3 linked regions of the Nothobranchius furzeri genome follow. The protein of the gene in region 2 purifies or fractionates together with the protein of the main gene of each other region. This does not show direct contact. Links are inferred from orthologs where the notes say so. Each region holds a gene or a part of one and is shown on either strand. Other genes may lie near its edges. The genes, in order: hgh1, ttc4 and edrf1.

The links.
Region 1: the proteins of ttc4 (region 2) and hgh1 purify together in Homo sapiens (co-immunoprecipitation; 4 studies listed by BioGRID and IntAct, counting the BioPlex papers as one, with this or other methods). This does not show direct contact. The link is inferred for Nothobranchius furzeri from reciprocal best matches to the Homo sapiens genes TTC4 and HGH1.
Region 3: the proteins of ttc4 (region 2) and edrf1 purify together in Homo sapiens (affinity purification with mass spectrometry; 3 studies listed by BioGRID and IntAct, counting the BioPlex papers as one, with this or other methods). This does not show direct contact. The link is inferred for Nothobranchius furzeri from reciprocal best matches to the Homo sapiens genes TTC4 and EDRF1.

Annotation. Positions count from the first base shown.
Region 1 is NC_091743.1:78,686,657-78,695,191, reverse strand, and holds the start of hgh1 (protein HGH1 homolog), read right to left. Parts: upstream 5,012-8,535; 5' UTR 4,849-5,011; coding exon 4,739-4,848; intron 1,893-4,738; coding exon 1,754-1,892; intron 1,682-1,753; coding exon 1,544-1,681; intron 907-1,543; coding exon 755-906; intron 562-754; coding exon 461-561; intron 1-460.
Region 2 is NC_091748.1:68,231,478-68,240,192, forward strand, and holds the start of ttc4 (tetratricopeptide repeat protein 4), read left to right. Parts: upstream 1-3,870; 5' UTR 3,871-4,010; coding exon 4,011-4,121; intron 4,122-4,203; coding exon 4,204-4,321; intron 4,322-4,400; coding exon 4,401-4,562; coding exon of another isoform or gene 4,563-4,577; intron 4,578-4,646; coding exon 4,647-4,724; intron 4,725-5,021; coding exon 5,022-5,146; intron 5,147-5,254; coding exon 5,255-5,341; intron 5,342-5,513; coding exon 5,514-5,755; intron 5,756-6,064; coding exon 6,065-6,149; intron 6,150-6,436; coding exon of another isoform or gene 6,437-6,511; exon of another isoform or gene 6,512-6,639; intron 6,640-6,884; coding exon 6,885-6,967; intron 6,968-8,715. Other genes in the region: pars2 (probable proline--tRNA ligase, mitochondrial), read left to right, coding at 502-816, 1,595-1,840, 1,908-2,789.
Region 3 is NC_091752.1:32,212,905-32,220,897, forward strand, and holds part of edrf1 (erythroid differentiation-related factor 1), read left to right. Parts: coding exon 1-162; intron 163-599; coding exon 600-666; intron 667-756; coding exon 757-882; intron 883-961; coding exon 962-1,086; intron 1,087-1,166; coding exon 1,167-1,314; intron 1,315-1,441; coding exon 1,442-1,543; intron 1,544-1,619; coding exon 1,620-1,741; intron 1,742-2,049; coding exon 2,050-2,161; intron 2,162-3,305; coding exon 3,306-3,453; intron 3,454-3,541; coding exon 3,542-3,653; intron 3,654-3,739; coding exon 3,740-3,851; intron 3,852-3,948; coding exon 3,949-4,233; intron 4,234-4,346; coding exon 4,347-4,418; intron 4,419-4,549; coding exon 4,550-4,691; intron 4,692-4,808; coding exon 4,809-5,000; intron 5,001-7,993. UniProt on the Homo sapiens protein: Transcription factor involved in erythroid differentiation. Involved in transcriptional activation of the globin gene.

The sequences.
Region 1 (8,535 bases), on a different chromosome or scaffold from region 2:
GCGCTTTGGAGTCCTTACTCTGAGAGGCGCTATACAAGTGCGGGTCATTTATCATCAGGCATGGGACTGTGTCATCAGCAAGGAGGAGGCGGGCAGTAGAGGGCGACACCGTCCTCTGCTGCCTGCGGATAAAAGGACGTGACGCCACCATCATCGGCGATCTCTGAGGATGGCTAGAGCTACTAACTGGAACATGTCAGGTAAACAAATAACTTTTACTAAACTGTGTAAATGTAGGTCTAGATTTTATCATCTAAGCATCCCTCAGGAATCCCCGCACCATCTAGCTGATCATCTGCAGTCAGATCAGCAGCCCAGATGCTGCTGGAGATCCTCAAAAATCTGAGTCAGGTGTGTGTGTGTGTGTGTGTGTGTGTGTGTGTGTGTGTGTGTGTGTGTGTGTGTGTGTGTGTGTGTGTGTGTGTGTGTGCGTGCGTACGTGCGTGTGTGTGTTTCTTACTGTGGTCAAAGCAGCAGTTACGGAGAGTCCCAATAACTCCGCCCCTTCTCACAACTGATTCCTTGTACTGGGTGAAGGGGAGTAATCTCTGAATCACATACCTGAAACACACGCACGCACACACAGCCCTCAGTTCAATCTAATAGATGCTTCATTAGGTGTGTGTGTGTGTGTGTGTGTGTGTGTGTGTGTGTGTGTGTGTGTGTGTGTGTGTGTGTGTGTGTGTGTGTGTGTGTGTGTGTGTGTGTGTGTGTGTGTGTGTGTGTGTGTGTGTGTGTGTGTGTGTCCAGCCACCTGTCCCGGTCCATCATGTAGGTTCTGGCCTGGGGTAGCTGAGTCAAGTTGGACAGGAGAGGACCCAGGTAGTGCATCTTGGCTTTCTGATTGTAGTTTTCATCACAGAAGATTGCCACCAGTTTAGCCAGACCAATGTCCTCCTGCAGGACCTGAAAGAGACAATAACAACAATTACAACATTAACAACAACAACAACAATAATAAGGGATTCATTTTATAGCCCTCATTATTCACACACTGCTGGTGCTGGTAAGCTACTATGTAGCCACAGCTGCCCTGAGACGGTCTGACAGAGGCGAGGCTGCCATTTGTGCTATCAGCCCCTCTGACCACCACCAACATAGGCAAGTGTCTTGCCCAAGGACACTACAGAAGAGTACCCTTGCGAGAGCTGACATCATCCCACCCATCTATCCTGTCTTAGCTTCCCAACACTGGCTGTCTGTTAAATTCAGAATAGATTTTAAGATCCTCCTTCCCACATATGGCCCGCATTTACTTTCATTTTGAATAAAGTTGCTGGTCAGAGCTCAGCATTAACTCCCTACGTCATCAAGACACCTCCTTCTGCTGCGCCAAGGCACAATCTCCGTTTATAAGACTGACAATTACCACAATATTACTACCAAGCGAGGCGGAACAAATGCCGCAAAAAAACAAAAACTAAACACCAGTTTGGTTGGAGTCCTGGCTGGTTTTACTGGTCAACAGGCTGATGTCCATCACACATGGTTAATCATTAAGTGGGCCCACTTCAGCGTGGCTGTATAAAGATGCTAGAATGACCTCAAACACCGTCCTGCAGGTCTTCTCGTGCCGGGTCAGGTTTGACAGAATGGTGCAGATCTGATCGGAGAACAAGTATCCTGGGTCCAAAAGGTTCTTCAACAACAGTGGAAGAACTTTGACCTTATTCACTATAACCTGGAGAACACAAAGACAGGTGAGAGGTGGTAACCAACTACAGAGGTACCGAGACCCAGAACCAAGACTCACCTGATGCAGCGTCTCATCGGCAGACAAGTTAATGAGGATGTGGTAACAGTCCTTCACTATAGCAACAGATGGGTCAGAGGTCAGCTCCACCAGCGCGGCTATCAGCTCGGGTTTGGAGTGGAGGAAACGGCACCCGTCTCTGGAAGCAGAACTCCAGCTGTCAGTGCAGCGCATCAGCCATGTCTAAATAATTATTCTTGCCAATGTGTTTAGCTTTTTTGTCAAGTTTACTGATTAGAAGAAAACAATAAAGAAAGGTGAGATATTAAGGGCTGCATGGCAGCGCAGTTGTTAGCACTGTTGCCTCGCAGCAAGAAGGTTGCAGGTTCAAAACTCGGCTGTGCTCTTCCCATGCATGCAACAATGCGACGCGGCACAGGAGTTAAGTGCTTGCCCCGTAATCGGAAGGTTGCAGGTTCGAGCCCCGCTCAGTCTGTCGCTGTCGTTGTGTCCTTGGGCAGGACACTTAACTCCTTGCCTGCTGGTGGTGGTCTGAGGGACCGGTGGTGCCAGTGCTCGGCAGCCTCGCTTCTGTCAGTGCGCCCCAGGGCAGCTATAGCTACATTGTAGCTCATCCCCACCAGGGTGCGAATGTGTGTGTGAATGGGTAAATGACTGATTGTGTTGTAAAGCGCCTTGGGGGGTTCCAGGACTCTAGAAGGCGCTATATCAAATACAGGCCATTTACCATTTACCATGCATGGGTTTCCTCTGGGCACTCCGGTTTCCTCCACAGATCACAACATGCCCTATAGCAGGGATTCCCTAAGTGTGGTGCACGCACCCCTGGGGGTACGAGAGCTGCCGCTAGGGGGGTGCGCGAGGTGAAAAGTGTAATGGCTGCGCAGCTCAGAGAAGTCTGTCATATGTCACCATTAGCGTAGCCAGAAACTCATTTGTGGGTGGGCCTAAGAAAACATAAGTGGGCACAAAAACATAAAAACTTTTAAGAGGTTTTATAACAACATTTTTCATTCCAGGTCAAATTAAGATATTAGCTTCTATTTTGGGATGACGTATTAAAGTCGGTCCGCTCCAGCCAGTGACTTCGAACCTGATCACAACTCATGTTACTGCAGCATTTGTTATTCCAGTCCACGTGGCAGCGGATCGCAGATTCAGCCACACCATAAAAAAGCAACAAGTCGGTCTGAGGCAAAAGTGAACCTCATGGCTATATCTTTTCCATATTTTCCCCTATAGACATTTGATTACGCACAAGTAGGTGGCCAGTTCAGGTTTACGCAGAGCAGAAGGAAGGAGAGCGCTCTGGCCGCACAGGTTAAACGTTCCTAATTTAAGAAAACCATTAAATTGCATTGTGTGCTACCTGGGCACTCTAAATATTTATTTAAAATTAAATCAAAGGAAATTGTAATGGTATCAAATGTTTATTAATTACTATTTAAAAAATGAAAGTGATGGGGAAAAAGGTCGTCATATTTTTTTAACCCTGTCTGTCGAGTGACTGTTTAGCTCGACGTCTGATATATATATATATATATATATATATATATATATATATATATATATATAGCCATGCCCTGATGTGGGGGCTGGGACACAGAAGGGGGTGCGTGGCTAAATAAGTTTGGGAACCGCTGCCCTATAGGTTAAGTATTGTACGTCACTTTGGATAAAATAAATAACATAAAATGTTCTTCACCAGCCACCTAACCTCCATTCTCTCCCTCCTAACGTCACCTCTACGGTTTCCAACCATGGAGTAAAAATGGACCCGGTTCTGAAAATGAATGCTCAGTCAAGTCCTGCTTCAACCTCCTTGTTTTCTAAATTAAAGCCCAACCTGAGTGTCTGTCTTCTAGAGTCAGTGATTCACACCTTCATCACATCCCAGCTGGACCACTCCAACTCCTGCTTGTACAGCATCAGTAAAGCTGCTCTGTCCAAACTTCAGCTCGTCCAGGACTCAGCAGCAAGGTTTCTGACTGGAGCTGACTTATTCTTAAATCACCCCATTGGTTGCCCATTCTTGCATTCAAATTGCTGGACAGTAAGGCACCTCCCTATCTGAGCAAACTCCTTCATTTCTACCACCCTCCTCGTGCTCCTAGACCTGCAGATCAGCTCCTCCTCACCGTCCCTAAGGCATGTTAGAAGATCTGCGGGCCTTTTTCTATCTGTGCCCCAAAACTTTGGAACACACTACCTCTCCAGGTTAGGCTAGCGCAGTACTGAGCAGCATGGATACATCAGAGGACTTCGCTGTAGTCGGTGTTCAAAGTGGATTAAAGACAGGACAGGATATATAATCAATCACATATACATAATATTAGAATACCGTGAACATGTAGAGATACTTTATCATGCAGTTGTTTGTCTGCTGTTCTTTGTACAGTCTTTATGAACACATATATTTGCACATTGATCAAAGCAATAATCCCTTTTCAGTTTTTGCCTCAGTGGCACAGAATCTGAGTCCAACACTGGATGATTGTACATGTTTTCATCTCTAGTCTCATGCTGCTATTATAACATCTTATACAATATATTTGTGTCATTACAACATCCTTGCTATAAATAATATACAATCTCTATTCTATTCTTATTTTTCTTTGTGTGAATCTGTTTTTCTTAACTTACCTGTAACTTTGCTGCCGGTGCACCAGAATTTCCTCAATAAGAGACAATGAAGGGCTTTATTATTGTTATTATTAATATTATTATTATTATTATTATTCTCACCAGCCTGTAGCTCTACTTTTTTCTCTAAACGCACCAGACTGATGCTTTTTAATATGAAATGTCCAAAGCTTGCTACGACCCTGCCAGCTCGGTATGGGTTACAGCAGGTTTTGTTGTTATGGGTCTAGGTCATGGTCTAGGTCCAGACGGAGACCCTAGTGTGGTGTAGCGACTGCTCTACAGACCTATTACACGTGCACCGATACGCCAGTGTGACGTCACTGGCATCAGCAAGCTGCTGTTATGCTCAGGTGAGCTGCGGATCCAGCAGCGACTCACCTGTGAGCAGACAGACCCAGCAGCGACTCTGTAGCCACGGCCTTGACATCCGGACGGGTCCCGATGGTCAGGAAGGACCGGAGCTCCGCGGCTTCACCGTCACTCAGCATCCTCTCCTCTCCAGTTCGGTCGGTCCTGAACAACCGAACCGCTGCACGAGTTATGTTCAGTTCTATAGAATCAGCCCACCTTTACATATATGCTTCACACACGTTCCGGTAAAACCCAAAACCACACGCAGAAGCAAACATGACTGGCAATTCGTCACTTCCGCCTTCTTCTTTGCGATGTTTTTGGTCGTGTCAAATTCTCTTATCGTCCGCCCCCTAGCGGCCGCTGGATGAACGCCTGCTCCAGTGGAACCGGTGGAAGCTGGTTCAACTCTGCAGCAGAACCCCTAACCAGTCAGACAGAACCAGAACTTTACAGAACAGCTGTTTGCTGCATAGACATTAAAGGCCCAATCCGAATAGTCGCCCTGCCTGCGGTCTCAGCAAAGTGCACTTGGTCAGGGCCGGCTTTGCCGACAGGCGACACAGGCGCAAAATTAAAAAAAATTTTTTTTTAAGTGTATTAAATTTATGTTTGCAATATGAAATGCACTCTCTATATGCTCAAAATTCCCCTCTGAAATGACATGAAATTAAAACATCAATATTTAAATTCTAATGATCTGGCTGCATGACGAGCTCCCGCTTGGGCCACCGCTCCGATGCATTTGACCGTTAAGGGTGCCGTAGATCACGTGCGTGGGTAGCACTGTAGAAGGACATCCTGTTGTCGCGTTTAAACTTTTGATATCTTTTACAATGAAAATAACACCTAAGCCATCGGGATCAGCATTCCGAAAGCGAAGGAAGGAGGAAGAAAAAAAACAGGCACAAAGCAGAGGTATGTTGACTTTATAAATTTGGCAAAGAAACTTTGTGCGTTTCCCTTGTAGCTAACTGCCTCTCCTGCCACGCACAGTCCACGGACGGACCCTCGCTAGCTGTTTACATACACAATACAGTATCTCATAACTTTAACCAATTAATTTTACTTTTGAATCGTCGTGTCCAGATGCAGTGAGACAATATCTGCAGCCACGACAGGCACCTGTTGACACCACGGGGGCGGGACTGGCTTCTACACCTGTTGAGTCTCACTGTGAAGATGAAGAATGTAAGATTTTTTTTACCGTTTTTTTGGAGTATGATTGCAGCCTTTTTATTAACTTTGTTTCAAGTTTTAAGTACAGGTGCTGGCCAGTAAATTAGAATATCATCAAAAGGTTGAAAATATTTCAGTAATTCCATTCAAAACGTGAAACTTGTACATTATATTCATGCAATGCACACAGACCAATGTATTTCCGATGTTTATTACGTTTACTTTTGATATTCATAAGTGACAACTAATGAAAACTCCAAATTTGGTATCTCAAAAAATTAGAATATTCTGAAAAGGCTGAATATAGAAGACACCTGCTGCCACTCTAATCAGCTGATTTACTCAAAACACCTGCAAAGGCCTTTAAAAGGTCCCTCAGTCTTGTTTTGAAGGCACCACAATCATGGGGAAGACTTCTGACTTAACAGCTGTCCAAAAGACAATCATTGACACCTTGCACAAGGAGGGCAAGACACAAAAGGTGATTGCTAAAGAAGCTGGCTGTTCGCAGAGCTCTGTGTCCAAGCACATTAACAGACAGGCGAAGGGACGGAAAAAATGTGGTAGAAAAAAGTGTACAAGCTCTAGGGATAACCGCACCCTGCAGAGAATTGTGACGACAAACCCATTCAAAAATGTGGGGGAGATCCACAAAGAGTGGACTGCAGCTGGAGTCAGCGCTTCAAGAACCACCACGAGGAGACTCATGAAAGACATGGGATTCAGGTGTCGCATTCCGTGTGTCAAGCCACTCTTGAACAAGAAACAGCGCAAGAAGCGTCTCGCCTGGGCCAAGGACAAAAAGGACTGGACTGATGCTGAGTGGTCCAAAGTTATGTTTTCTGATGAAAGCAAGTTCTGCATTTCCTTTGGAAATCAAGGACCCAGAGTCTGGAGGAAGAGCGGAGAAGCACAGAATCCACGTTGCATGAGGTCCAGTGTAAAGTTTCCACCGTCAGTGATGGTGTGGGGTGCCATGTCATCTGCCGGTGTTGGCCCACTCTGTTTCCTGAGGTCCAGGGTCAATGCAGCCGTCTACCAGGAAGTTTTAGAGCACTTCATGCTTCCTGCTGCTGACCAACTTTATGGGGATGCAGACTTCACCTTTCAACAGGACTTGGCACCTGCACACAGTGCCAAAACCACCAGCACCTGGTTCAAGGACCATGGTATCCCTGTCCTTGATTGGCCAGCAAACTCGCCTGACCTTAACCCCATAGAAAATCTATGGGGTATTGTGAAGCGGAGGATGCAATACGCTAGACCCAACAATGCAGAGGAGCTGAAGACGACTATCAGAGCAACCTGGGCTCTCATAACACCTGAGCAGTGCCACAGACTGATCGAGTCCATGCCACGCCGCATTACTGCAGTTATTGAGGCAAAAGGAGCCCCGACTAAGTATTGAGTGCTATACATGCACATTCTTTTCATGTTCATTCTTTTCAGTTGGCCAACATTAGAGAAACAAACATTTTTTCATTGGCCTTTAGAATATTCTAATTTTCTGAGATACCAGATTTGATGTTTTCATTGGTTGTCACCTATAAATATCAAAATTAAACGTAATAAACATCGGAAATACATTGGTCTGTGTGCATTGCATGAATATAATGTACAAGTTTCACGTTTTGAATGGAATTACTGAAATATTTTCAACCTTTTGATGATATTCTAATTTACTGGCCAGCACCTGTACACATACAATATGAAATTAATATTTTCATATCAGAAGAACGTTAGGTGTGGGTGTAGCAAAACTTCAACTTTGTCCGACACATCGGGCGGGCGGCACCGCCGCGGCCGTGGCGGGGACTCCCCCGCTACCGCCGGGCCCGGCGGGGAGTGAGCAAATGGGCTTGCTTGACCTCGTTTCAACAGATGTTTCTTTAATAAGATAATGGTTGAGGTTGGACTAAGTGGTTTTCCAGATGACGTTGTCCGTCCACACCTGTTTATCGAAGCTTTTTCGGCTGTCGCTTCAACAATTGTGCAGATAATTGTAAGGTTATGAAGTTCATTATTTTCAGCTCCACACAGCTGCCCCCTGTGCACAATAACACCGTGTAGAAAAACCAAGGTCAGGTGTTCCTCAGACTGTTTACATTCCAGGAGAAGAGTCCGAAGGAGAAGAAGAAACTTTACTTAATCAAAGTACTTTATTTGTGATTAAAATTATTAAGCAAAACAGATGTTGATCAACAATAACCAAGTGAACGATCTGTGAAATAAATATGTCATGAATTATGTTTAATGAAACCAGGACTACGGCACAGACATACTGATCCTCATCTCCATAGAAACGCATGACACATTGTTCCAACCAGTCAGAGCTTTCGGCTGCCGCAGGAGAATCTGGCTTGTTGACTTAAAGTATCCAATCCGCTTTACTAAAACTTTCAACAATTCAGAGATATAAAACAAGGCAACGCCATTTTTAAGTCAGTTCCATTTTGACTTCAGTTCTAGTCACCATCATCCTAAAGATAAGCACAGACTGGCCAGATGTGTTTTCTTCTTTAAACTAAGAACTGTGAAGCTGGAGATTTTCGTCGTTTAACAACCAGACGACATCCTTTTCAAAATAAGAGCACCTGCTGACGCGCCGCCGAACGGTACCGGGGTCGACCCTCCAGACGGGCTTT
Region 2 (8,715 bases):
CAAGTATTACTCCTAACCTTATTGATTACATTTCCATTGATTGATATATTTTGCCCTTCTTCTTTGATATAAAATTTTTGAGATTTGATTAGTTTGAGGAAATAGAACCCTAATTTGTAATTGTGTTGTTTTATAACACGGGAGAGAATATAGAATACAGAAATGTGCTATTACGTTAAAAAACACGCTTGACCCATTTCTGTTCCTGTTTACGCCCTGCCTGCAGGTGGCGCTGTGACATTCTCAAGCTCTGGTGCACAGCAAATGAAAACCGGAAGCGGAGCTTACTTTAACACGGACTGTGTTTGTAGTTTACAGCCGTCGTTTGGCATTCTCTTTCATGAATTTGTTTTAACTTAAGAAACCACACAGTCGTTGTCTCCATGTGCCTTCGGTTTTTTTTTTATTATTTTGTTTCAGCGCTGGTATCGTTACCTGTACTAACTTAATAAGCTAACATTTGTAGATTACTGGACTTTTGCACACCACTTGAACGTCTTGATGGAGCCAGCGACCCACCAGACCTGGAGGAGATCCTTTTATTACCTCCACGGAGCTTTTATTCTTCCAAAAAGGTTCCAGTCAGGTCAGGCTGAGCACGCAGCTGTCTCTGCGTCCCCTCGTGTCCGTCCGAGGCTCCTGGTGTCTCGTCTGTACCAGCCCTCGAACCTGCGTGATGTGGGTCAGGAGAGCCGGCTGGCGGGGCAGATGACCTGTAAGAGCCAGAGACTCATGCAGCAGGCTGGGCTCATCCATCCATCCAACCCAGGGTGCTACTACTACCTTCCTGCCGCCGTGCGCTCCATGGAGAAGCTGGTGGGTTTTCATTTGCATAACAAAATGTTTTTGAGCAACTGTTTCTGTGGGTTTTATCGTGCTTTTGTGCGTAAAAATAAAAATTAAAAAATTCTGAGGTCTGAGCTCTAAATTAGCTTTTGTTCTGTAATAAAGTAATATCCTAAATGCTAGCTCCTCAGGAGGGAGGGAGCTGGTGCCTAGTCATCTGGCATGATGTGGGGGACACTCAGGACAAGTCTCCAGTCAGTCACAGGGACGTAAAGTCACATTGTATCACATCTGGGGACAATTGTCTCAAAAGTGAGAAAACATGGCAACGTTATGCAGCAAGGCCCAGCTAGGATTCAAACCTGCAACCTCCTTGCTGCAAGGCAACAGTTGTACCAATTGCTACAACTATAAAAGAAGCTACATTTCCAAACACAATAAAGCAGGTCGTGTTGAATATTGACATCAAAACAGAACTTTTTGGCATGAAGTTTTGTTTGAATGGAGCCCGATGAGGACGTTCAGTAAGATGATGACATCTCAACGGTAAAGTGTGGATTTGAAAAGTTATCTGCACGTTTTAACATAATTAAAGGAAATGTATTCTGTGTTTGGTATGAAGAATAACTATTTAAACATCACCACTAGACTCTGGAAGAAATAACAATAACAGAAAATGCGATTAAGTGTCCAAACATTGACAATCCAGTTTATGTTTTCAAGTAAAAAAATAAATTACTGCTGTAACAGAGAATAATTGTATTTATTTGGTTGTTATTCAATTATAACTGGAGTTTTTATTCAACAGATTAAAGTGATTGACCAGGAGATGCATGAGATTGGTGGACAGAAGCTAGACATGCCTAGTTTATGCTCAGCTGATCTCTGGAAAGCCAGTGAGCGCTGGGATTTGATGGGAAAGGAGCTGTTCCGTCTGAAAGACCGCCACAGGGCAGACTACTGCTTAGGTCCCACCCATGAGGAGGCAGTGACGACCCTTGTCGCTCATCAGACGACTCTGTCCTACAAACAGCTGCCTCTGCTTCTTTACCAAGTAAGCCTCCAGCTTGTTACTGTCACTAGCTGTGGGTTTTTTACTGAGATTTCTTCTTCAAATCCAGATCACCAGGAAGTTCAGAGATGAACCCAAGCCAAGGTTTGGCCTTCTGCGAGGGAGAGAGTTCTACATGAAGGACATGTACTCATTTGATGTTAGCGAAGAAGCTGCGAACCAGACGTACGAGTCTGTGTGTGAAGCATACTCTCGACTCTTTGCCAGGTTGAGTCTGCGTTGCGTTCAGGTGCAGGCAGACACGGGAAACATCGGCGGTACTCTCTCACATGAGTTTCAGCTGCCGGCAGACATTGGTGAGGACCATCTGCTGCTCTGTGGAAGCTGCTCCTTCTCCGCTAATGCGGAGACTTTGTCATCAGGCCGAACCGACTGCCCACAGTGCAACACTGGCTCACTGGTAGAATCAAAGGGTATAGAAGTAGGTCACACCTTTTATTTGGGTAAAAAGTACTCCCATATATTCAAAGCCACCTTCAGCAGTGCCCAGAACAAGCCTGCTACTGCAGAGATGGGCTGCTACGGTCTTGGGGTGACGCGCATTCTCGCTGCAGCCATCGAGGTGATGTCAACAGAGGAAGAGATCCGCTGGCCGGGTCTTATCGCTCCATATCAAGTTTGTGTGTTGCCCCCTAAGAAGGGCAGTAGGGTAGATAAGGCGGCAGTCTTTGCAGAAGAACTGGTTCAGACTCTGGGAGAAGCTGTTCCTCATCTGAGAGGTGAAGTTGTTCTTGATGACCGCACACACATGACCATTGGAAAGCGGCTGAAGGATGCTAATAAACTGGGCTACCCTTATGTCATCGTAGTAGGACAGGTGGCTTTAGAGGAAAATCCAAAGATTGAGGTGGTGTGTCAGCAGACGGGTGAGACTATGTTCCTCAGTAAGGATGGACTCCTGGATCTACTGGGAAGAGTGGAAACTGTGTAACAAAACTTTAACAGCTGATCCTGTAAGAATTGTCATGATTGTTTATTTTGATGGTTGAAGTCCAAAGAATACTAAAGACTTTGTCTAGACATTACATAGGTTTTATTCACAAACGAGTAAATTTGCTGTTAAAAATGGCTTGATAAGGTCTCTGGGATTGATTAATGCTTTTTTTTCTTATATGCTCAATAAGAAGAGAAATAAAGGCACAGCTTTATAGTTTTACATTTTTTTTTCTTCCCGGTACCGGTTGCTTGTTTAAATGTATTTCTGAAATAAAGAAATATGTAGGAGCTCCACAAAAGAGGTGTTTTATTATTTAGCCTTGTCTTTCATTATCTTTATTTATGAACTTGATAATTGTAGATGAAACCATGAAAAAGATACAGCTATTATAAAGGTGGGGAAATGGAACAATAAGAGCGGGAGATAATTAATCAAATCACTCATGATAAACTAAGTTTATATCTTAGTTCTGTGGAAATAGAATTTCCCATCAAAACAAGCAAGTGGTGAAATGGTCAATGTTAAAAGAAAAACTTTAAACACAAGAATACAGTTTTATCATAAACCTTTTTAAAAGTTTTAGTAATAAAGGTTCACTTTTGCAAGTCATTTTGAGAGATCATGGAATTCAGTTAATAGGACTTATTGCATGATAGCCTTTTTAACATTGCTTATAAAATTAGCAAAAAACTGAGTTTCACTTTGGGCAGCTGTGGCTACATCGTAGCTTATCACCATCAGTGTGTGAGTGTGTGTGTGAATGGATGAATAATACACTGTAGTGTAAAGCGCTTTGGAGTCCTTACTCTGAGAGGCGCTATACAAGTGCGGGTCATTTATCGTTTACGTTGTTTATTTAAAATAATTTTGAGTGGCGCGTACACTGTTTACACACCCTGAATCACATACTTTGTTTTTTACCCTTCCACGGAAAAAATAAAATATTTGGAGTCCAAGTTAAAAAAATGTTTTTCTCCAATTTTGATATTTTTAAACAAACTACACTGGTAAGTGGTTTATTCTGAAAGTGGAACCAATATTTCGGGTTTAAGTTTCCGCACGGACTAGTAATAAACGCGCAGCGCAGAAACACATGCGTAAACAAGGCTGCGTTTATGCTTTTTTGGCTGTGGGTTCGGTTTCTGTAGATACATTTATAGTCTTTATTCCATATTAACGTCACTAAACAGCGTTTTAGCGCTAAATTGAGCCAAAATGGCGTCAACGGCGGTTCAGAGTGACAGTGACGACGGGATGGACGAATTCATGGACAAATTCAAGACGCAGAGATATAAAAAGGGCTTCAATGAAGACACCTGGGAGGAGGTAACTCAGACTTTCATCATCAGTCTTCAACAGATCGTTAGTTAATATCGAGATTTATTTAGTTTTTTTGTTTTTCTTCTAGGAGTTCGATAAAATACCCATGTTTATGAAAGAAGCCCCTGAAAACATCAACCCACGAGAATACCCAGACCTAGCATGTCTCCAGTCCATGATCCACGATGAAGACCGACCTCCAGAAGGTAAGTGTGTCCTTATCCGAACACAGAATGAGTCTTCAGTCACATATTAAAGTTTATACATGTTTTGTTTCCTCATCAGAACAAGCAAAAAGCCTGAAAAATGAAGGAAATGCTTATTTTAAGGAGAGGAGCTACAAACAGGCAGTCGTGTCTTACACAGCAGCGTTGAAGGTGAAATGTGGGGATGAGGAGCTCAGGGCTGTAATTCTCACGAACCGAGCCGCTTCACACTTCCATCTGGGTATAATGTCTCATGGTACATTCACCGTTCATTCACCTGTGTCAAGACATAAATATTAAAGTGCACTGATATTTTTTAACACAGGTAACATGCGCTCTGCACTGAATGATGCTGTAGCTGCAAAAAAGATCAAACCAGACCACCTCAAAGCTTTGATCAGAGGTCTGTAAGCTAATACTTTGCTCACAAAGTAACGAATCACAACAACTGTACTGATAAAAAGCCAAATGGATTTGTTTCTTTCCATATTTTTGATTGTATTTGCAAGAATTGGTCAAATGACATTGAAGTGGAATCTCTGCAGTGAGAAATAGCTATTTTTAGTACAACACAGTGGCTGCCAAACACCAGAGGAAACATATAGTAAATTATTACAGTTACACGTCAATTATTCTAAATGTCTGCTTTGGTGTTCTGCATTGATAATGACGGTGTTGGATTGTGTTTGTGGTCCTGCAGGAGCTCAGTGCTGCATAGAGCTGCGTAACTTTGCAGAGGCTGTCCAGTGGTGCGATGAGGGATTAAAGGTCCACCCCACTGACAAAAAGCTGCAGGAGCTGAGAGCAGCAGCAGAGAAACACAAAGTATTATTATTTTATTATTGCTGTTGGTGAGCTATGCGTGAAAGTTTTAAAAGATGAATGCATCAAGTTAAACCTATATTGTGTGTGTGTGTGTGTGTGTGTCTACAGAGAACAGCAGAGAGAGATGCCAGAAAAGCCAAGGCCAAAGAAAAGAAGTTACATGGTGAGAAAGAAGCTCTTCTCGTTGCTATAAAGGTAAAAATATCCTTATTTTTAAACCTTAAAACAAACATACAATATTCGCATGACCTGAATCATCCTGATTAAACACAACATGTGCTCTCTAGGATCACATCATTACAGAATGAGATATAAAATCACATATTTGTTTATGATCATCGGATGTGTTTTTGTGATCTGCGGACAGGACCGAGGTATAAAACTTCTGCCGCCTGCAGGGACACGTGTGCATGGTTCAAACAGTGATGATGAGGATGCTGGCTCTCCTGCAGCCATCGCCCAGCTGAGTCTGGATGGCCTGAGCTCCCAGGAGGTCACAGGGGCTCAGGTTTTCCTAGACCAGCAGGGCCTGCTGCATTGGCCTGTTCTCTTTCTCTACCCTGAACATCAGCAGACTGATTTTATCTCGGCCTTCTGCGAGAACACCTGGTAAAAAAAACTAAAAACTCTTCTTTATCTTAATTTAGTCTGAAATGACATTTTGAAAAAGCAACAATGACCAAAAAGAAAATTTGAGTTATAGAAATCAGAGAAGCTGTTAAAATGAATGAATGAATTCTTTATTGTCATCATACAGAGCATGACAAGATTACAAATGTTAGTTTGGCAAAATTAAAAATGTTATGAATTTGTTAGTAAGAAAATGCTTATAAGGCCACATGGTGGCGCTATTTGATGATTTGAATTCATGCTTTGCTCAAATGTGACTATCTTTTTAACATTTTAATGGTTGTTTAGTTTTAGAGACCACCTGACCGTCATGTTTGGAGAAGAGCTTCCACCTTGGGACACAGACAGAAAATACCACCCCCAGAATCTGCAGGTATTTAGTTTTGTGATGTTTAACTCATTCACTGCCAGCCGTTTCCTGATCACTAACGGCCTTCGCTGCCAGCGGTTCTCACCGTTTTTACTGTTTTTTTAAGAGTCACAGAACGTTGCGCGCTAGCATGATGTCGATGCCAAAACAACCAAAACAAAGAGGAGACTCACCTCTTTCATCAGGAAGAGTCTGCGTGTTTCGAGCGTTATCCGTTCTTTCATAACCCGTTGTCGAATTGTGATTGGCAGATGCTTTTCCGGTTCGCGCCTCTCTTTTTTTTTTTACAGGAACGGCCCAAAACGATCTCCAAACACATGGATGTGTTGCTTCCTGATCATGTGATCTGTGATGTATGTGGATGAAGATCGGCTTCAGGGCTGAGATGCATGTTCTCTCAGCGCGGGGGCTCGTTCCGATGCTCAAACAGTAAAAAAATGCAAATGACGACTTTAGTCGTCAGTGGCAGTGAATGAGTTAAGTAAAGCTAAGAGCAGGAAGGAAACAGACCAAAACATATAAGGTAGTTGATGACGTACTTTTCTTAAACTATAAATTATTTAATTCCTTTGAGTTTAAAGTTCTGAGAAGTTTAACCAAGGAGGTTTATTCTCTATAATTATAATATGTAGAAAAATGTCTGATGGAGTTAAAATCCGCATTGACAGACAAAGTTACGCCAGTGGGATTAAACATCAACAGTCCGACCGAAGGTAATTTACTGTTTTGTACTTTCAGCTCTACTTTGAGGATGAGGTGAAACAGACTCTCTACCAAGTAGATCCAGATGCGTCCCTCTTGAGGATTCTGCAGCATAAAAGGTGATTTTATTTCTAAGAAACTGAGTTTAGGCTAAATTCTTACTATTTATTGTTAAATGTAATCATTGTTTTTATTGTGGCTTACATTACATTCTGACATCATTTTTGCCATTTATAAGTTATAATGTAATTTAGTGTCATCGCTATGGTTACTGCAGGTTTTTGGTTTGTTAAAAGGTGAATCAGATTTCTGGTTAAAGCCCGGATCACACGGTTCTTGTCACGCTGTGAGAACTCCAGAAAGGCGGCACGCTGTACGGCGCAAGATTTCTGAGTCGCTCCAACAGGACACCTCCTAAGCAGACCGCTAACCAAAACAAAGCTGAAGATAAAATAAAGCACCGCTGGTAACACTTCGCTCATCTTCCTCAGAACAAGGGTCATTTTCAAAACCCTCGCTTTGGCGCCAGACTCTGGCTTTGGGTCTCCTTTGTCCATCTTTCAGCTAAACGGCTGATCTGTCTTCTGGTCATTCATCCTTCTCCATTATACATAAAAACCTGCTAAACTACAGAGAAGTAACAATCTATCTCAGATCACTCCAATATCTGTCTCACTATTTACCCCGCAGCTCCGTGACGCCTCATCACACCCGCTGTCACAGAGCGGAGCGTCCTGTGTTCCTCTGCAGCAAAACGCTGCTGAACCATCCTTGTTGGTTGAACATGTGCGGTTTCCACCAACAGAAAAGGGATCTCATGTTTTTGTGTTTGATTTTTTAGGTTTGTGACCACATCTCCTATCACACTCTCATAGATCAAAGAATCACGGTTTTCATAATTCAGCTGTCGGTCTAAAAAAATTGTGTAATTATTTTAGCATAACTCTGGCTTAACTTGGGCTCTTAACCCTCTCAGGCTCAAAATAAGTTTTGGAAAAAAGGACGAACAACTAAGTCCTTCAGGGGTACTTCTGAGTGTGTGCGTGTGTGTGTGGGGGGGGGGGGGGGGGCAGCAGTAGCTCAACAGGTTGAGCGGGTTGTCCAGTAATCAGAAGGTTGCAGGTTCGATCCTGGCTCCAGGACAGATAATTCTGCTGTTGTGTCCTTGGGCAAGACACTTAACCCACCTTGCCTGCTGGTGGTGGTCGTAGTGTGGTGTAAAGCGCTTTGGAGTCATTATTCTGAGAGGCGCTATACAAGTGCGGGTCATTTATCATTTAAAAAATGCTCATGAAATACGCATGTGGAGTAACCAGGTAGGTAGATTTTAACGTTGCAAATCTGCAACACCTGCCTCCAGAGGGTTAAAGTCTCTTTCTGGATTATTTCTATTAAACAATGGCACCTTATGCTGGCTGACAAGCATATCACACAAATAGTCTCTGGAACCGAAGATGGCGACTTCACGATTTTTGTTTATAAATGTGCTTCTGTAGCCAACAAACGGAGGTAAAACACGTTGTTTTACGAGTATTATTCTCATGTCATGTTGTGTTTTCATATTTTTATATTTTAAAGACTTACTTGTCCGTGAAAGGTTCATCAACTCAACATCAGCTGAGGTATTCCTTAAATTTGAAGCATCTAAGCGGTAGTCTAACGCTATTGGTTAGTTCTGGTCGGCGCTCAGTTTCCTATTGCACGGAGCTCTGCGGGGCAGGGGGCGTGCTAGCAAAAAACAAAAAAGGACGCATTGCTTACATCATACCACAGTACATGATGAGATAATCACTTTTACGGATTTCTGAAAAGGGAAAACTCCTGAAAGCAGCTTTAACAAAAAATAAAAACTGTTGTGTAGTTTATA
Region 3 (7,993 bases), on a different chromosome or scaffold from region 2:
CGTCAAGTATTCTGCTGCACCACCTCCTACCACCTACGCCCTGCTGCAGGAGAAAACAGACCTGAAGCTGCCACCTGCCAACTGGCTGAGAGAAAACCCTCAGTTGGGCAGTGCTGGTACCACTGTGTTAGGCTCCAGCAGCAAGTGCAAGCCTTTCTCCAGGTAAAAATGGTATCTGAGTAATTAACTGCGAAGAGGAGTCCTGTCCTGTCAAATTTAGCTAAATATTGGTAGCCTGGAGGTGACTGCAGAGCTGTATCTCTTGCTGTGAAGCATAAGTGCCAGTGCCAAACCTAAACTCTTTTTTTTCTTTCTCAAACGTCTCTAGTTATGCCTTATGCCTGTGTGCAGCATAGTCAGCTTCTTTAAAAAAATATATATATATATATATAAATATTCTTTAAAATATTTATTTACACGACCATATTCTAAAAACGAAATAGTCTAAAAATGTCATGTTGCAGTTTTTAATGAAAATATATATGTAAACAAACCCTATAATCTCTCCCTGTCTGAAGTGCTAATAACAAGAGATTTCAGCTTGAGATTATTTGATCATCAAACAAATGTAATGGATCGATTTTTGCCTTTTTCCTCAGTTTTGGGATGGCTTATGACTTCATTGACTGCATCGGAGATGATGTTGATGTGGTTTCAGACTCTGAGGTTGGTGATGTTCTAAGACAATTGAATCCTTTTCTTTTTCAGAAATTTACACACAGCTGATGTTAATTTTGTTTTTATGTTTCATTTAAGAACATCAAGAAGCTTTTGAAAATTCCCTACAGCAAGTCGCATGTTAGTATGGCTGTTCACCGCGTTGGAAGGACGCTGCTTTTGGACGAGTTGGACATTCAGGAACTCTTACGCAGATCCTCACAGGTAAAAATGTGTTTTCCATTTAGCTTCTTTAAAATATTTATTTACACGACCATGTTTTAGCATGCTTTATACTGTACAGACCAGGGATTGGACCTGGCTCAAAGAGATTTATCAGCGACTAATAGATCAAAAATGGCAAAGAAAAAAGAAGAGCAAAGAGAACTGGTACCAGAAAGCCATCCTATCCAAGTTCCTCTACTACAGGTGAGTAAATAGCTTTGCTTCATTGATTGACTTGAGCTTAATGCATCATTCTCAGTATAAATAATCTATGTCTCTGGTAGCATAAACGGTGATGGGGCTGCAGAGCCTGTGTCACATGACATTGATAAAGAAGATGAGGAGAATGAAGCCGAGGAGTACAGCTCCACATGGCCTGCCACTTTCACCAGCACAATGTCTGACGCAGAAGAATCAGATATGCCCAAACAGGTAGCTGAGCTGCACACACAATGCTGTCGGTGTTTATGTCAGGTTATTGTCTCAATAATAGACACGGTTAGGAACAGTTGCTAGAATTTATTAGAAGAATGAAACACTGTTGCTGTTAAATGTGCAGGAAAGCGTTTCTGTGGACAGCACGTTTGCTCTGGGTCAGGTGACGTCGGTACCCAAAGAGCAAAACCTCCCCACTCTTTTTAACGAAGGGGAAAACAGTCAGGTAAATGCAAAACATCTTAATGTTATTACTGTATGAGTGCTGTCATACACGCTGTACTTTATGTGATCATTTACAGGGTTTAAGGAACGATTTTGTACGAAACATCATGTGGACGTTTGAGGATATCCACATGTTAGTTGGGTCCAACATGCCGATCTTCGGAGGCGGTCGCTATCCTGCTGTCAGCTTGAGACTCAGGTTTGATATTTGAGCCATTTTATCCCAAATAAACATTGGTGTGTGTGTGTGTGTGTGTGTGTGTGTGTGTGTGTGTGTGTGTGTGTGTGTGTGTGTGTGTGTGTGTGTGTGTAACATGCACAGACCAGCAGAAAGGAAGATGCATTGGGTTGAGATTATTATGGAGGGTCCAAGTCTTTTTCTAATTCACTTGACTGTGAGAATGCAGCAGCTGCAGCCTCTCCAACACATTATTGCTGCTCAGTCTGACTGATTAAATGGTCACATGGCTGCTGAGCCCTCACTTTGGACTCTCTCTCTGTTTTCAGGGACAGCAATAAACCAATCAACGTTCTGACAGGCATCGACTACTGGCTGGACAATCTGATGTGTAACGTCCCGGAGCTGGTCATGTGTTTTCATGTCAATGGCATTGTTCAGGTACAGTTTACTGTCTCTTCAGGGATATTGCAGGAAAAGAAGAAGAAACAATCTTTTATATAGCAGCAGATTCTACATGCAGGGTGGTTATTTTACAGCTCAGTAACAATATTCAGCAGAGACATACTGATCATGTAATTTAAAGCTGTTACGGCAAATCTGCAAACAAGCTAGTTTTTGAACGCAAACACGGTCTTGGAACACTCAGCCCTCCCCTCAGGTATCTTCTGCCAGAACCAGAAACCCGCAATGCTGGACAAAACTCCATTTTCAGTTCTGCATTTCCATTCTTTCCACATTTATTGACCTAAACATTATGTAATTCTACAGTGAATGAATAATAATTAATCAATTCAGCAACAACAGAATTAAAGGCATACTCTGCAACTTTTAGAAAATTTTAAATTATTTTCCTGAGCCAGTATGTGCTAAAATGGCCCTTACAGGGTTTATGAAATGTCACTCAATCCTCACCGCGATCTGTGGCCAGAATATTGCACTTGCAACTTTGGAGTGCCAGTCCGATCCCTGTTAGCTTTAGTAAAGAGGAGCTGACATGCCTGGCGCTGCAGTCCGGTTCCGTCATGTTTGCTGCATGTTTTGGATCATGAACACAGCTGATTTGTTTAATTTAGTGATGAATCACTTCTGTAGAAGGCAGAGGAGACATTTCAGCAGTTAGATTTAAGGTGTTACACAGCGAGGAGATAGGTTTCACTTTTGTTTTTACTAACTGGACACAGGTGCTAAAAGCAAGCCAAAACTGCAAAGTGTCCCTTTTAAAAAGGTAAAGATTGTTAGTCAGCTTTCACAAGCAACAAAGTGACATGGTCCTCCGTAACACTGTTTTAGCATAATCTTTTAAAGATTTGCTCAACTTTTACTTTGAAGAACAGAATACATGAATATTTATTTGCAAAATTAGGTGTTTCTGTGTTTTGTAGTTAATGTTTAAGAACTACAAATGGTGAGGAGATCCACGTGAGCGCAGCTGACATGCTGATGTCGTCTAATTGGCATATGAGAAATGTGTTTGCCTGAGCAAAGAAAACTTACTGTTATCGTTAACGATTTACGGCCCACCAGCTTTTAATGTGATTGAATTATTTTTAATTCTCTCGGTTTTGACGTTTTTCCCTTTCAGAAATATGAAATGATAAAAACAGAAGACATCCCTCATTTGGAGAATTCAACTTTCTCCACGAGGGTGGTGAAAGACATCGCCCAGAACATCCTCTCCTTCCTGAAGTCCAACTGCACTAAAGAAGGCCACACCTACTGGCTGTTTAAAGGTGGAGAACCACACCGTTGTGTCTGCTTGATGCTTACTCCATATTTATGTATATCTAATGACTCAACTGTCTCACCTTGCATCTTCAGCCAGTGGGAGTGACATCGTGAAGCTTTATGACCTCACTACTTTATGTGAGGAGGCAGAAGAAGAGAAACACCAGAATCCCTTCACTCTTCCCGTTGCTGTGTTATTATACAAGTGAGGGGTTTGTGATATCCTGTGGATTTGCACAACAGTGTGTGTCTAAGCGTTAGAGGCTGTCATTTTTCTCATTTGTGCTGCAGAGTGGCCTGCAACCTGATGCTGAAGGTGAGGCAAAACAGAAAGCACTACGCAAAAATCAGGACTCTGCTCTTAAACTGCATCAAACTTCTTGATGAGGAGAAGCATCCTCAGGTATATGTGGGGGTTTAAGGTTTGTTTTTGGGATCGACAAGTGAAACCACGTCGATGTGAACGAACTCAACTGCATTCCCGATGCCCTTGTTCCCAGATCATTGCCTCTGTCTACTACATGCTGTCAGAGCTGTTCCGGCTGGATGAGCCTCCTGATGAAGACGGGGAGTCGCTGCGGGCCGGCGGCTTAGAAGACAGCTACAGTGATGAAGACAGGGAGGAAGAAGAGGGGGAGGAGGATGATCTGACGGAGGACAGCGATGAGAACGGATCCTATAGTAACTGCTCCAGGCCTCAGGATGACAGTAAGGCGGTGGCCGTGATTCGTTCTGTGGTGGAGCTGTCGGTTCCTGAGAAATACAAATCAACTCACCAGATCAGAGTGAGTGACTCGTTACTTCCTGCCTTTGTCTCCCCACGCAGTGAAAGGAGGAGAGTGGAGATTACACACAATAATAATGAAGTAAGTTTGTTTATTTTTTACATTTGTTGCAGCCAAGTTGTGCTTTTCCTGTTTCTCAAGACAAGGAGGAGCGATGCAGACACGTCCTGAGCTACGTTTTAAAGGTAATAACTAGACAAGTGGTTTCAGTCTCGGGGAGCAAAAGATCTGAATGATTATGTCAGATTTATTCTGCACGGTGCTTATAAGTCAGACAAATAAACTTTCAATAAAATCATAATCTGGTAATGAACAGGGACTGAAGGCTGTGGACAGTAGCGTCAAAAAGGAGAGCGATCTCCCAGCTGCAGACCCGAACACACCCATTCCCCTTAAATATGAGGATGGAGGCGCTAATGGAACATCTGAGAAAAGCATCTCCCTTCTGCTGGAAAGAGGTCAGTCTACCTTTCATAATTCATCACTGTTTAAACAAAACAACATGATGCAAAATAAAACAGGAAATGGAAATGCATCATGGCTAAAGGGTGACCTGTTTATGATGTTTTTTCCAGCAGGGTATGTACAGGTGGACCAGAAGCACCCAACTCGCTCGGGGATGATCCCTGGCTCCTGGCAGCACCGTATGAAGCTGCAGCTTTTTCTTAAAGCGTGCAAGGCGTACTACGTGCTGTCAGATGCAGCCACAAACCTGCTGAAGTACGGGCGAGCTCTACGCTACATCAAGCTTTCTCTGCAATGTTACGGTGAGTTTACGTGTGTAATTGTATGGATTTGCTTGTTTTATCCTTTTTTTGAATTGCAGTCTAAAGTACATTTAGCTTGTGATTAAATACCAACCTCATTTAAACATCCAGTATCGATACATACCGTATTTTCACAACCATAAGGCGCACCTAAAAGTCTTAAATCTTCTCTAAAATGTACGCCGCGCCCTATGGTGCGGTGCGCCTATTGTGTTGTTGTGAGACGTTAACGTAGTAGAAGACAAGGGGCGTGGTGTGAACGTGCGGACGTGAGCGAAGACAGACCTGTGGATCTGCCACATCGTCATCAAGATCCTCGCTGTTTGCCTCAGACTCCGGCTGCGAGTCTCCATCCACTTCCTCTGCTTCCAGTTCAAAAGCAGCCTTGCTATCTGAACTGCCTGGTGGACATTTATCCTTCTCATCATCCTTTATTAAAGCCTAATAAAAGCCTACTAAACTGCAGCAACAATATATCTGTCCAGATCGCTCCAAAATATGAAGTTTACCATCAATATCTGTCTAACTGTTTGTTGTTACTCCGTTCGTGCCACTCCTTTCCTCGCGAAGCGGCTCCTTTTTGTGCACAGCTCGTTACTCGTGCAGCTTCCTCTCTTTCTCAGCTACATAATGATACTTTTTATCAATTGGATATGTGAGACTTCCACCAACAGCAAAAGGATCTCATGTTTTTGTGGTAGGGTTGTCACGGTATGAAAATTTAACCTCACGGTTATTGTGACCAAAATTATCACGGTTTTCGGTATTATCGCGGTATTTTTTAAACGGTGTTGCATATGTTCAGAAAGCATTGATAGTCCTGTTCTACCCAAACTGAAATAGTTTTGAAAAGGTTTAACAGTGTTTATTAAACCTAAAATAACACAAAGCCTTAGCAAAAGTGCAACTTTTCACAAGTAAAGGAACAAATAGCTTCTTTTTCTGGAACATGTTACAGTAGTCAGTGCAGGTTTAAATTATACAAATCCAAACATTCAAAACATAAACAATATGAAAACAAATCAAAGAAACACCACTTGTTTTCTCATATACTTGTTTTCTTCATTATCAAAATGAAAATCTAAAACTCCAGTCCACACTTGACTTGAGCACTGTACAAGTCAACCTTAAAAAATATGTATTTAAAACAAATAGCCACTTTAAACAAATTACTAAAATAACTACTACACTATGTAATCAAATCCAAATGTTCAAGTATGAATGGCATTGAATAAGTAAACAAATCAATGACAAGGAACTAATTGTATATTTCTCTTCATCATCAACAAATAAGATGCTTCATCCAACAACAGGGTGTCCGTGACACGGTGTAAATGCTGGCAGAGGACGCTGCGGCTGCAGTATATAGTGACTCGTTGCATTCTCCCTCAGCCAAAAGTCCTCGCGTCATGCATTTAAGCTAAAATGCTAATGTCAACTTACCTTGCACTGGCTGTAGAGACGTGGGTGATGGTCATGCAGATGTGCCATTAGATTCGAAGTGTTGCTGCCTTTTGCAGACTCTTGTTTCCTGCACGTTCTGCAAACGGGATAGCCGTCTTCTATTAACTGTCCCTCAGCATTTTTCAGAAATCCCAAATATGCCCATACTTCCGATTGAGTCTTCTTTGAGGGCTGATGGATGTCCTGGGCGCTGCCGTCTCCTCCTTCGGCCATTATTTCAGCTTCAAAGTTTTGGTGCCGTTGCAAACTAAAAAGTGCGTGTGCGCGCCGCGGGAACTTCAGCTGAAGCGACGGTGGCTGGTAAGGGTCATCGCGCCAAAACCGCGGCCACGGTAAACCCACCGAGATAATATAGTTTTTTAAAAACTGGACGGTTATTTTTATTGTCAACTTTTTTACCGGGGTTTACCGCTATACCGGTTACCGTGACAACCCTATTTTGTGGTTTTTTTATGTTCACAAGCACATTCCCTCTCACGGATTACTAAACTGCTGTTTACACAAGTTGTCAGAGTGTCTAAAAAGAGGTCGTTTTTAGTTTAGTATAACTCCGCTTTTACGTTGCCTATTAACACAATTTAAAAACTGGGGTGTATTTATTATCTCCTTTTTAAATCTGGATTGAAACCGAAACTCAGGGAGGCGGAGTCTTGCTGCTACAGCGTCCCAAATCAGGCCTGTTCAAAAGACGCAGATACGCGTTCATGGACCTCAGAGGGTTAATAAAACACAATTCAGATCACACTGTTTTCTTAGGCCTATTACTAACACACATATGATTTTGTTCATGTGGAAAGTTTATGTGGTTAAATCCAACAACTACCGGTAAACACATTCTGAACTTCAACACAGCGCATCAGCGCTTGAAGCGGCGCTGCGACCCAAAAAGTACCGGAACCGCTCTCGGCGCATGCGCAATCCTGCATCAACACCGCTCGCCCTCCATTTCCCTAATAACACACGCTGTTCGTTTATTTTTCTACACATTTTTTTACTCACAAAGATTGTCAAGAAAGCGTGTTTGTCGTGTTCATGTCAAATTAACCTGATCACAAAACAGATTTACTTTCTTTATTTCGTTTTCCTCATCCAACCCCCATAAATCCTTGTGTGTCCTCCGGCAGCACTCCCGGTGTACGCCCGGCTTTAGTTGGAGGGAGACCCGCGATTATCGCTTTGTCGCGCATGTCTCATTGAAAATGAATGGAGGAGAGGCGAAGTTGCCTCCCGTGTGTCGAGCCCATTAGAAGAGTACGAGCCGTCAGCACACGCAATGAGGAAGTGCACGTGCGCTCTAAACCAGGTCTGAACCAGGGCTAGACAGTAAAGTGAAGCATGCTTTTGGCTGTTTATAATTTTCACAATGTCTGGTTTGCACTGACATGTTCCGTCCCGAGCCCGCACAGATGTTTTACCGGTATGTTTTACCGCGTTCGCGCCCTAAAATCCAATGTGCCTTATGTATGTGTTAAATACCAAAAAGACACCCGTAACTGAAGCTGCGCCCTATAACACGGTGCACCCTATGG